Linked DNA regions of Arabidopsis thaliana. The protein of the gene in region 1 interacts with the protein of each later gene in a pairwise test. Each region holds a gene or a part of one and is shown on either strand. Other genes may lie near its edges.

Region 1 (5,113 bases):
CCAAATATTACTATGAAGATTTTCTCTTTTCAAAAACAATGAATTATAACAATATCTCCTACTCTACAAAATTGATAATGATTACGATATGAAATTTTAAAGCGTTATTTGTTTTTTTTTCTCTTATATTATTATAGATTTTGTCTACACACTCTAGATATTTATCTTTAATTAGAAAAAAATACATAAGAGTACACCAACTAATTAACATATTTATAAATGTGTTTTTAACATTTTTAAGTTTTAGTCAAAATAGTATCAAAATACATAATTTGATGTATGTCCTATATATCTTATTCCAAATTATTAAATATTACCTAAAACAAAAATACAGTATTTTTGTAATTGTATTCTATGAATAATTTAAGAATTCCTTAAGAATTGTTTAAGAATTATTTTAGAGTTTTTAAAAGAAATCTTGTAGAGATTTTTAAGAATTCTTAAAGGATTTGTTTCTGGTTTTTCAGATTGTTCTCCATATCTTCTCATATAAATTTTAAAAGACCTCTCTTTTTCTCTAATAGTTTTATGGTACTTAACGGGTATAATACAGAAGTTTTTCTATCATAACAGGATAAAATTCTCTAAAATCAGTTCATGTATTTGCTCAAGTATCAGAAGCATAATTAAACAAAGATTCTATTTCCTCGAGAAAAATCAAATAAAATTACAAAACAACAAGAAACTGTAAAATAGAAAGAAAGAAAAAACCTCAAAAGAGGATTTATACAAAAGAGCGAGTATGAAGAAGGATTTGGCGTGAGCCTCATTTACAGAGGAAGCAAGGAAGAGAAATTTTCATTTCATGTCTCTAGTTTCAGTACAACACCAGTGATCCCTATTGGCGATTTCGGTTGGAAATGCTCATCCGTATCCACTTCTTCGATCTCCTGTAATAATATGATTTAATCTTTTAACACATGAAACTATTAAACAAACCATTCAAGCTGATAGACTGTGCTTAGTTGGATCAAACCTGTACTACATCCTCTCCCTTAAGGACTCTTCCAAACACTATAAGTTGATCATTCAGATCCGGGATTGGGGCCGTTGTGATCAGAAGCTCAAAATCCTTGTTGTTCCCTTTGTTTTTTGGTGTTCCCAACATGAATGCCTCATGTTTTGGGCTGTAACAGAACATATGTAGTTTTTTATTTTTTAAAACCAGCGAGAGATGATAAACATTGACACTTAAAAGCCAAAAGCAGAGCAAGCAAGTTATACCCAATGTGAAGGCGACCTCTGAGCTTTCCTTTAGCTGTCCATTCTTCTACAGGTATAGAGCTCGGTGAGTGACCAGCTTGTACCAAGTAGTTCTTTATAACCCGCTGAAACGGCATTCCCTTGAAGTGATCTTTTTGACTGCAACAATACTCAATGTTCAACTTCTACTATTATATTAAGCTACAATATCGTCACAGACTGATTCAGCCCATTTCTCTTTAATGAGGTTTCATGTTCCAAACAAAAATTCCAAGAAGAGTACAAGAGGACTTAAGGATCAAAATCAGTCAATCAAGAAACTAAAGCTACTTGAATCCTATCAAGCTAGAAGTAATACTCCTATTTAAGAACAAGTCATGACCTAGCTTAATCAAATTACTCTACTGTTCTTTTTCTATCTAACTTAAAGGAAAACAAACGAATTCCAATACTAACCATAGATCTAGAAACTTGTCCACAACTTCAGGGGAACCTTCTTTGAAGAGTTCGACAGTTATAAGTCCTTTTGATGTGTTTATATCCTACATGAGATAGGAAAATAGAAGCAAGATATCATTAAAATCAATATTCAGATAAGACACATCACATTTTTTTTACTTCAAAAACTGATGAACAGAACATAATACCATGATGAGAAATAAGAACAAGGATTAAAACAAGAAACTTAAGCAAGCAAACAGGGAGATTAACTTACAGCAAAACCAGGAAGATCGTAAGTTTTTTGCCCTGACGCAGTATTAGTGTCCTGAAGCAGAAACCAAAGCCAGATCACATATGGTAAATACCCTAAACTCTAAACCTAAGTGCTCGGAAGTTCATCAGGATCAAAACTCAAAAGCTATACATTAAAAAATCTCTCAAGAAAATACCTCAAATCTCTGACTCCGAGTTTCATGTTCAATTGTGTTTCTTGACCTAGGAGATATAACCAATGATATCCTTTTTAGTTTATAGATAATCACATAAAGTAAAAGGAGAATCTACTATAACAGAAGTAATGAAAAAGGAACAATTCAAAGATGAAAACAAACCTTTGGGACCAATGGCGATAGGTTGTGACCAACGATAATATGACTACAGCAACTACAAGATTACAGACAATAATAGTGGAAATACTTATGCGACTTGGACCCTTCTTCTTCTTGCTTTGATTTAGAAGAGCCTGCGGTTTTATCTTCGCCATTGCACCTTAGTTTCGCAGAAAGCAAACGAGGGATACAACTTGTCTCTGCAAACCATAAATCAACAGTAAGTGACAAGCAATCCAGAAAACAAGTATACACTACACAAAAACTCCAAATTCGTATCTGTAAGACTATAATTCAATTTCAAGTTGGTAAAATCAAAACTGCAATAAGATTAAGTTGTTACCCAACTGAAGAAACCCTGATATCACGTATTGACCAGATTAAAAATCTAGCATATTTGAATGAATAAACGCATGTGAAAATATCACAAGGGTTCATACATAGCTTGACCGGTAACTTCCGATACACCAGATCCAGTACTTTTCCAATTATCGATCAAATTGAAATAAATTGAACAAAAGTGGATATGAGAAACGGAGCAGCTTATCATGTTCCAATCAAATAATAAACAGATCTTTCTTTCTATAGAAATCCAAAGACCTGAAAGTAAAATCAAATGAATTCCAAGGACTTTGATTGCTTCATTGGGTTCTCGAAAAACGTACCTGGAAGTTAGAGAGAAGAGAGGAATCGTGGAGATTGGTCGTTGCGTCGATGGAAACTGGTTTGAATTCTCTGCTCTCTTTTCTCTTTTGCAGAGACGCTTCAGATCAGCCGCGTGTTTATCCGACGGCTACGAGTCCACCTCACCAATATCCGACGAATATTATTCCACAAACAAAAATACAAAAGTTGATCATTTTTGAAAAATCGTATAGTTCGGTCTGGTTTTCTCATGAAATTATCTGGTTATCTATTTGACCCAAGAAAATGATTCTAAATTCAAAAGAAAGTAATTTTACTATGGTCTAGTGGTTATCACGTTAATCATACGGTTTCCGCCCTAATTGTCACTGGTTTGATCCTTCGCTGCATCATTTGATTTTGCATTACACATACTAAACTGTAAATATAAATAAGCATTGGTAAAAAAGTCAAATTTTCTACGTAAACACTTACAAAAGGGAAAAAAAAAATGCACAAGCAAGATCACTTAAAAAAACCCAGGTCACAGTCAATTGTTCGGTTTTGTGATTTTCTTAGCCACTTTTTAATTGATCGGTTTAGATATAGCCTACCATCAATAAACCGTTATTGTGTTAACCTGAAACAAGCCATCCAATATGATCTTTTTAACTTGCACACCATCTCCTCTTTCTAACTGGCCTCTGTTGATTAGTAACATCGGCTTTAGCTCTCAGTTCAGTTTGAGATTTGAATGTCGCTTCTACCGCCAATTTGGTTCCCTTGAACCTCTCCCTCCGTTTCTCCATCTTTTTCAGACTCTCTTGTATACGTTCATTGTCTATTTCAACACCTTTCACTTCTTCTATTATCTCGCCTTCTTCTTTGTCATTTATATCTCGATTCTGCATAGCTTTCTCTTCGCTTTTGCCCATTAACTTTCTTGGTTTCTGAACATCTTGTTGCTCGATTGTATCTCCGCCATTGGAGAATCTTTTTTTTGATTGGTTAGAGACCTGAAACACACACACAAAATATCTATCACATGAGAAGGGTCTTGTTCTTCATTGTACACTAACTGATGTCTAAATATACGGATGTGAGCAACATAAAACCTAAGTATAGAAGACAGACCATATAAAGTGATAAAACAGTCAGAAATAACACAAAGAAAATCCAGGGATATAAATAACTGAAAGGCGTTTATACTTCATTCAAATATAGGTTTAAAAGCATGTAGATTTAGTTTCCCAATCTTTACCTTTCCTTGCCTACCAGCTAAGTCAACATGATCCTGACGCTTGATGAAAGCATGCCCATCTCCTCTCAGCTTCTTGGATCTGTGATGTCTTTCATCATTTTCATGAATATGGCTCTGTAAATATCCAAACCTTTGTTTGGTCGCCATCCGATTATGTGTCGGTACTCTTATGTCGCGGACAAATATCTCATCAGTATATGATGGATGCTCAGAATTAGAAACTTCTCTCATTGAACATTGCATGTCATCTGCCATATTATATCTTCCTCTATCAGGACCAACCCAATCAGCATCATACTGTAGTCTATCTTTTACGCTCACATTATGGCTACGACCAAGATTCTGCGTCCAGCCATCTCTCGGTGCAGCCTTATGAAAATGGTTATTCTGGCTGTCATATGCTTCAGGTGTTCTGAAGTCTCTGGTATCATCTCTCCGGAAATCACCTTTTGCTTCTTTGGTATACCAAGAATCTCTCAAAGATAAAGACGGTGAGGACCAACCATCTTGGATTCTATACTTATAACCATCTTCCTCTGAGACAAATCTATCAAGATGCCAATCATGAATGTAATGATGTCTTTTCTCTATTTCAGAGAATTCCTCATGTCTTTTATACCCTTGATATTCTCTCATTTCCACTTCAGCAAAAGAACGCATCTCCCTGTACGCCAGCTCAAATGGAATTCTACTTTCTACCCTGTGAACTCCATCTTCATATCTATCACGATGCAAATTATAATCGTATCCACCCCTTCTTCTGCAATAAAGATCATTCTCTGGACTGTGCTTGAGGTTGTGTATTGCATGTGCAGACGAGTTCTCTGACCGGTACCTATAATCCATGTCAGTAATCGGTATACAGTCCTCATAATAAGGTTCTCTTAGCCAATCACACCCATTTCTTTCTTTGTAGTTTTCATATGCTCGGATAGGACTTCTTTCATGAACATATTTTCTTTCACGATGATGCCAA
Region 2 (3,480 bases), on another chromosome or scaffold:
ATTTCAAGCAATTAGAAGACTCGGAGGATAACAATTCCCCTGCCTCGTCAAGTCCAGAATCAGAGAGAGAGACAATGATTACACTAGTTAATGGTAGTAACGGCCCAAAGAAGAGGTTACAGGAGAACGGGGAAAAGAGCATGCTGGGTGAGCCCAGCCCTAAGCAACAAATCACTCAGCCTGAAGCAGGGAAACCACCACAGCCTCATAGACGCCTGGGGCCCCTACTAAATGATATAAATAAGAAATCAGATGCTTTTATCGAAAGTACACTCGAGAAGATGAGGAAAGGCTTAGCCTAGAACTAAACACATGAGCCTCCTTCTTCTCTCGCTTTCTCTGTCGAATAGAAGAACCAACAGACACTGGGATGCAAGAATTATCTATATACTCAATTCTTTTACTTTGTTTAAATTTACCAGCTGCATTCTTGATAACAAAACGTATATGTACTCCCACTTGTATTTTGAACAATAATTCATCTCAGAACTTTAAGATTTACAAGAAATATTCCTTAAGGGGCTAGTTCATATATCATTCTAGAGCAATGTTCACATTCATTTGCCTTAAACCCACGTACCTAACACGATAAGCTGAATGAAGTACCATTCTAAGGAAGAAAAGACAAAGAATCTTCATGCTCTAATCCCATCATGATTCACGAGTAGTCCCTACTCTGTTCTTTCCAGCCATCCAAGCTGAAGTAAGAGGCAAAAAGTGAAAAAAATAATCTGAGCAAGCACATATAACTATATAAGCGCCCCTCAATAATTACCATTCGACATACCTTCCAGGCATACATAGCAAAGAAGGCAACCGTGTCAGCAGACCAGACAAGAGCAAATGATTTCCAAAAGAAGGGAATAGCAACATTGAGCAAGGGGACGATGAGAAAGAGGTAGTTAAGAGCCTCTTTCTCTTTACTTGGACAGTCTCGTGCCCGAAGAGAAGGAATAGCTGGAAAGAAAGTAAAGGATTAGGGGCAAAAATGCAGCCTTGGAATAAATAAAGTTAGAAGAAAGTAGAGAAGGAGACATACTGAACATCCAAATGGACCACATGCCCATCAACCTCCATAAATCAGGTTCGCTGGAGGGAAAGAGGAGGTTGAAAGAAAGGACACCTCCGAGGAACATCGATGCATAGCCTTGAACCTCAAAAACTTTGTAAAGAGTAGTTCCAGGGAGAGCAGGGTTTTTACTGGCGGTGGAAGCTCTAGGGGCAAAGGTTGCAGCAGTCTTGTTAACAACCTGCTTGAATTGAAAAGTCATAAGCTTGAGCAACTCTTTCAACAGGTTCAAGCACTAGAGACCAATCTAACATGGTGCATTTTCATTTTCATGTCTTCCTATGGTTTCAACAGAAAAATCGTAAATGATATAGAAAAAAGGCGGACCTTTTTCAAGTCTTTACCGAGAGCAGAGGATGAGGAAGGGAGAGGAGATTCCGGCGGGTCGTCCTTGGGTTCTAATCCGTCAGAGGTGGCGAAAATACGGAAGGTGGATCTTCTTCTATGGCGAAAGCCATAAGTGAGAGCTATGGAAGAGGAGACCCCATGGGTGCTGCAGAGAGACCAACTCATTCTCTCCTCCAATAATCGCGATAAGGAAGAAGAAACTTGTTGGCTTTATTGAACCGGTCCAATTCTCAACCGAACTCCGGTATTCCAAATTAAAAGCCAGCAATCAATAATTGAATCTCGAGCCCACGACGGTTTGATTGGTTTAGCCATTTCTCGGCGCTAAATATAATTTATTAAAATGATGATTATTGCGAGAAGAAAAGATCTTTCTTTGATTTTTGCTTGTGGATTTGGATTTCCAGTTTCCAATTCTCTCAAATTTGCAATCCACCTTCAAATTCACACACATCTTCAACAGCTACCTTTTCGGGAACTTGCTAGAATTCGTGAGAATTGGAAATTTTTATCCTCCGTTTTAGTCTCCGGCGGGCTGATTTCGTTGGCCTTTTGGAAGAAATTGAGGTCGGAGCTAGAGAGGGGATCTATTGAATTCGATGAGAATTGGGATATGGTGATCGTTAAGACAAAAGTTTCCAATGGCGAGTTTTTTGGTGGGCTTCTTGTTGCCTTCGCTTCTTCTGGCAGGTTGGTTTCTTTCTCTATCTTCTTGCTTGCAATAATAATAATAAAAAAATCCTTACTTTGCTAGTCCTCTTCAATCAACAGAGTCCTCCTCTTTGTCTCATGGGATATCTTGAGCTTCACTCATTTACTCCTTAACATTGTACCTACTCTATTAAGGTTCCTTTATTAAGTTTTACTAGTTTAAACGACCCTGGTGTTTTTATGTCAAAACATTGGTATCATATCTCTTGTTATTGCTATCTCCATTCTCTACCACACCGTAGCTTGTACTTTTTTCGCTTGAGCTTCTATTTTCCTAATATATTTTTCTCTTCTCTCACAGCTGCACTTATTAACTGGAGTGTCATATCCTTTCTTGATTTGATAGCTTTCCTCCTCGTTCACTATATTGCACCTGAAATTGGTAAGCCTGTTTTCCCTCTAATCAAAAGAAATACCCCAATGTTTCTGCTGTAGTACATGTTTCTTGGAATCTTTGATTTGGGGTTTAGGTGTGAAAGGATTCATCTAGTTTATGCCCAACATCTACATTAGCCTGGAGAAACAGAAAAAAAAAAAAGAGAGTCTATTATTCTCAGTTTTCGTCGCTTTTTTCAGTTACGGTTGATTAGCTGATGTTTACTTTCTCAAACTTACTTTGGTTCTTGCTTTATTTTGCCAGGATACCGTTTTCAGAGGAGGCATTGGCTATTATGGCCCATTTTCATCTTTTCCTTTGCAGTATTTCTTGCTCAAGTGGTCTACCTTGTCATTTGGGCTGCTCTAGGTCAAGACTGGGATACACCAGATACTGGCTGGATGAGAGTTATTGGCTTTATGATGTAAGAGTACTCTCATCATTTCATTCATCTTCCTGCCTTACAAATATTTACTTGTTAGTTGATACTCTCGTCTTTGCTTCTGCAGATTAAAGTCTTGGAGAAACCCCACCGTTATGTATTTCCTGGCTTTACAACTACTAACATCATTGGTTGCTTTAGCTGACATATACAGTAGTAGATTCGGCTTCGCTAGATGGCGGGACACATGGTGGTCTCACTTCTCAGGAATTTTCGAACACCTAGGTTTGTAATTAATGTACTAGGCCCATACGGCTTGTCCAAATACTTACTGTAACGTTTTCTCATCATGTGTTCATCTGGTCTTGGTTTGACGTTATCTCCTCCTTTATTACTCAGGAAGTCATCTTAGGGTTGCCTCCTGCTTGTTGTTACCAGCAGTTCAATTGGCAGTGGGAATCTGCAATCCATCATGGGTTTCTTTGCCATTTTTTATTGGAAGCTGTGCCGGTCTTGTGGACTGGTCCTTGACAAGCAATGTTTCAGGACTTTTCAGGTGGATAGATTATTGATTATTACGCAAAGTTAGCACTT

What was found.
Region 2: the proteins of AT3G66654 (region 1) and RPH1 interact in a protein complementation assay, tested with the Arabidopsis thaliana proteins (one large-scale study listed by BioGRID).

Annotation. Positions count from the first base shown.
Region 1 is NC_003074.8:2,085,988-2,091,100, reverse strand, and holds AT3G66654 (Cyclophilin-like peptidyl-prolyl cis-trans isomerase family protein), read right to left. Parts: upstream 3,186-5,113; 5' UTR 2,918-3,185; exon of another isoform or gene 2,453-2,917; 5' UTR 2,408-2,452; coding exon 2,256-2,407; intron 2,140-2,255; coding exon 2,094-2,139; intron 1,970-2,093; coding exon 1,919-1,969; intron 1,746-1,918; coding exon 1,660-1,745; intron 1,363-1,659; coding exon 1,225-1,362; intron 1,128-1,224; coding exon 977-1,127; intron 891-976; coding exon 804-890; 3' UTR 560-803; downstream 1-559. Other genes in the region: AT3G66652 (fip1 motif-containing protein), read right to left, coding at 3,545-3,892, 4,138-5,113. UniProt on the Arabidopsis thaliana protein: PPIases accelerate the folding of proteins. It catalyzes the cis-trans isomerization of proline imidic peptide bonds in oligopeptides.
Region 2 is NC_003071.7:19,660,965-19,664,444, reverse strand, and holds RPH1 (resistance to phytophthora 1), read right to left. Parts: upstream 1,629-3,480; 5' UTR 1,583-1,628; coding exon 1,397-1,582; intron 1,251-1,396; coding exon 1,040-1,250; intron 958-1,039; coding exon 776-957; intron 699-775; coding exon 672-698; 3' UTR 543-671; downstream 1-542. Other genes in the region: AT2G48075 (uncharacterized protein), read left to right, coding at 1-302; AT2G48060 (piezo-type mechanosensitive ion channel component), read left to right, coding at 2,059-2,107, 2,430-2,510, 2,769-2,928, 3,014-3,171, 3,286-3,442. UniProt on the Arabidopsis thaliana protein: Plays a positive role in the immune response to the oomycetes P.brassicae, including induced oxidative burst (e.g. H(2)O(2)) and enhanced expression of defense-related genes.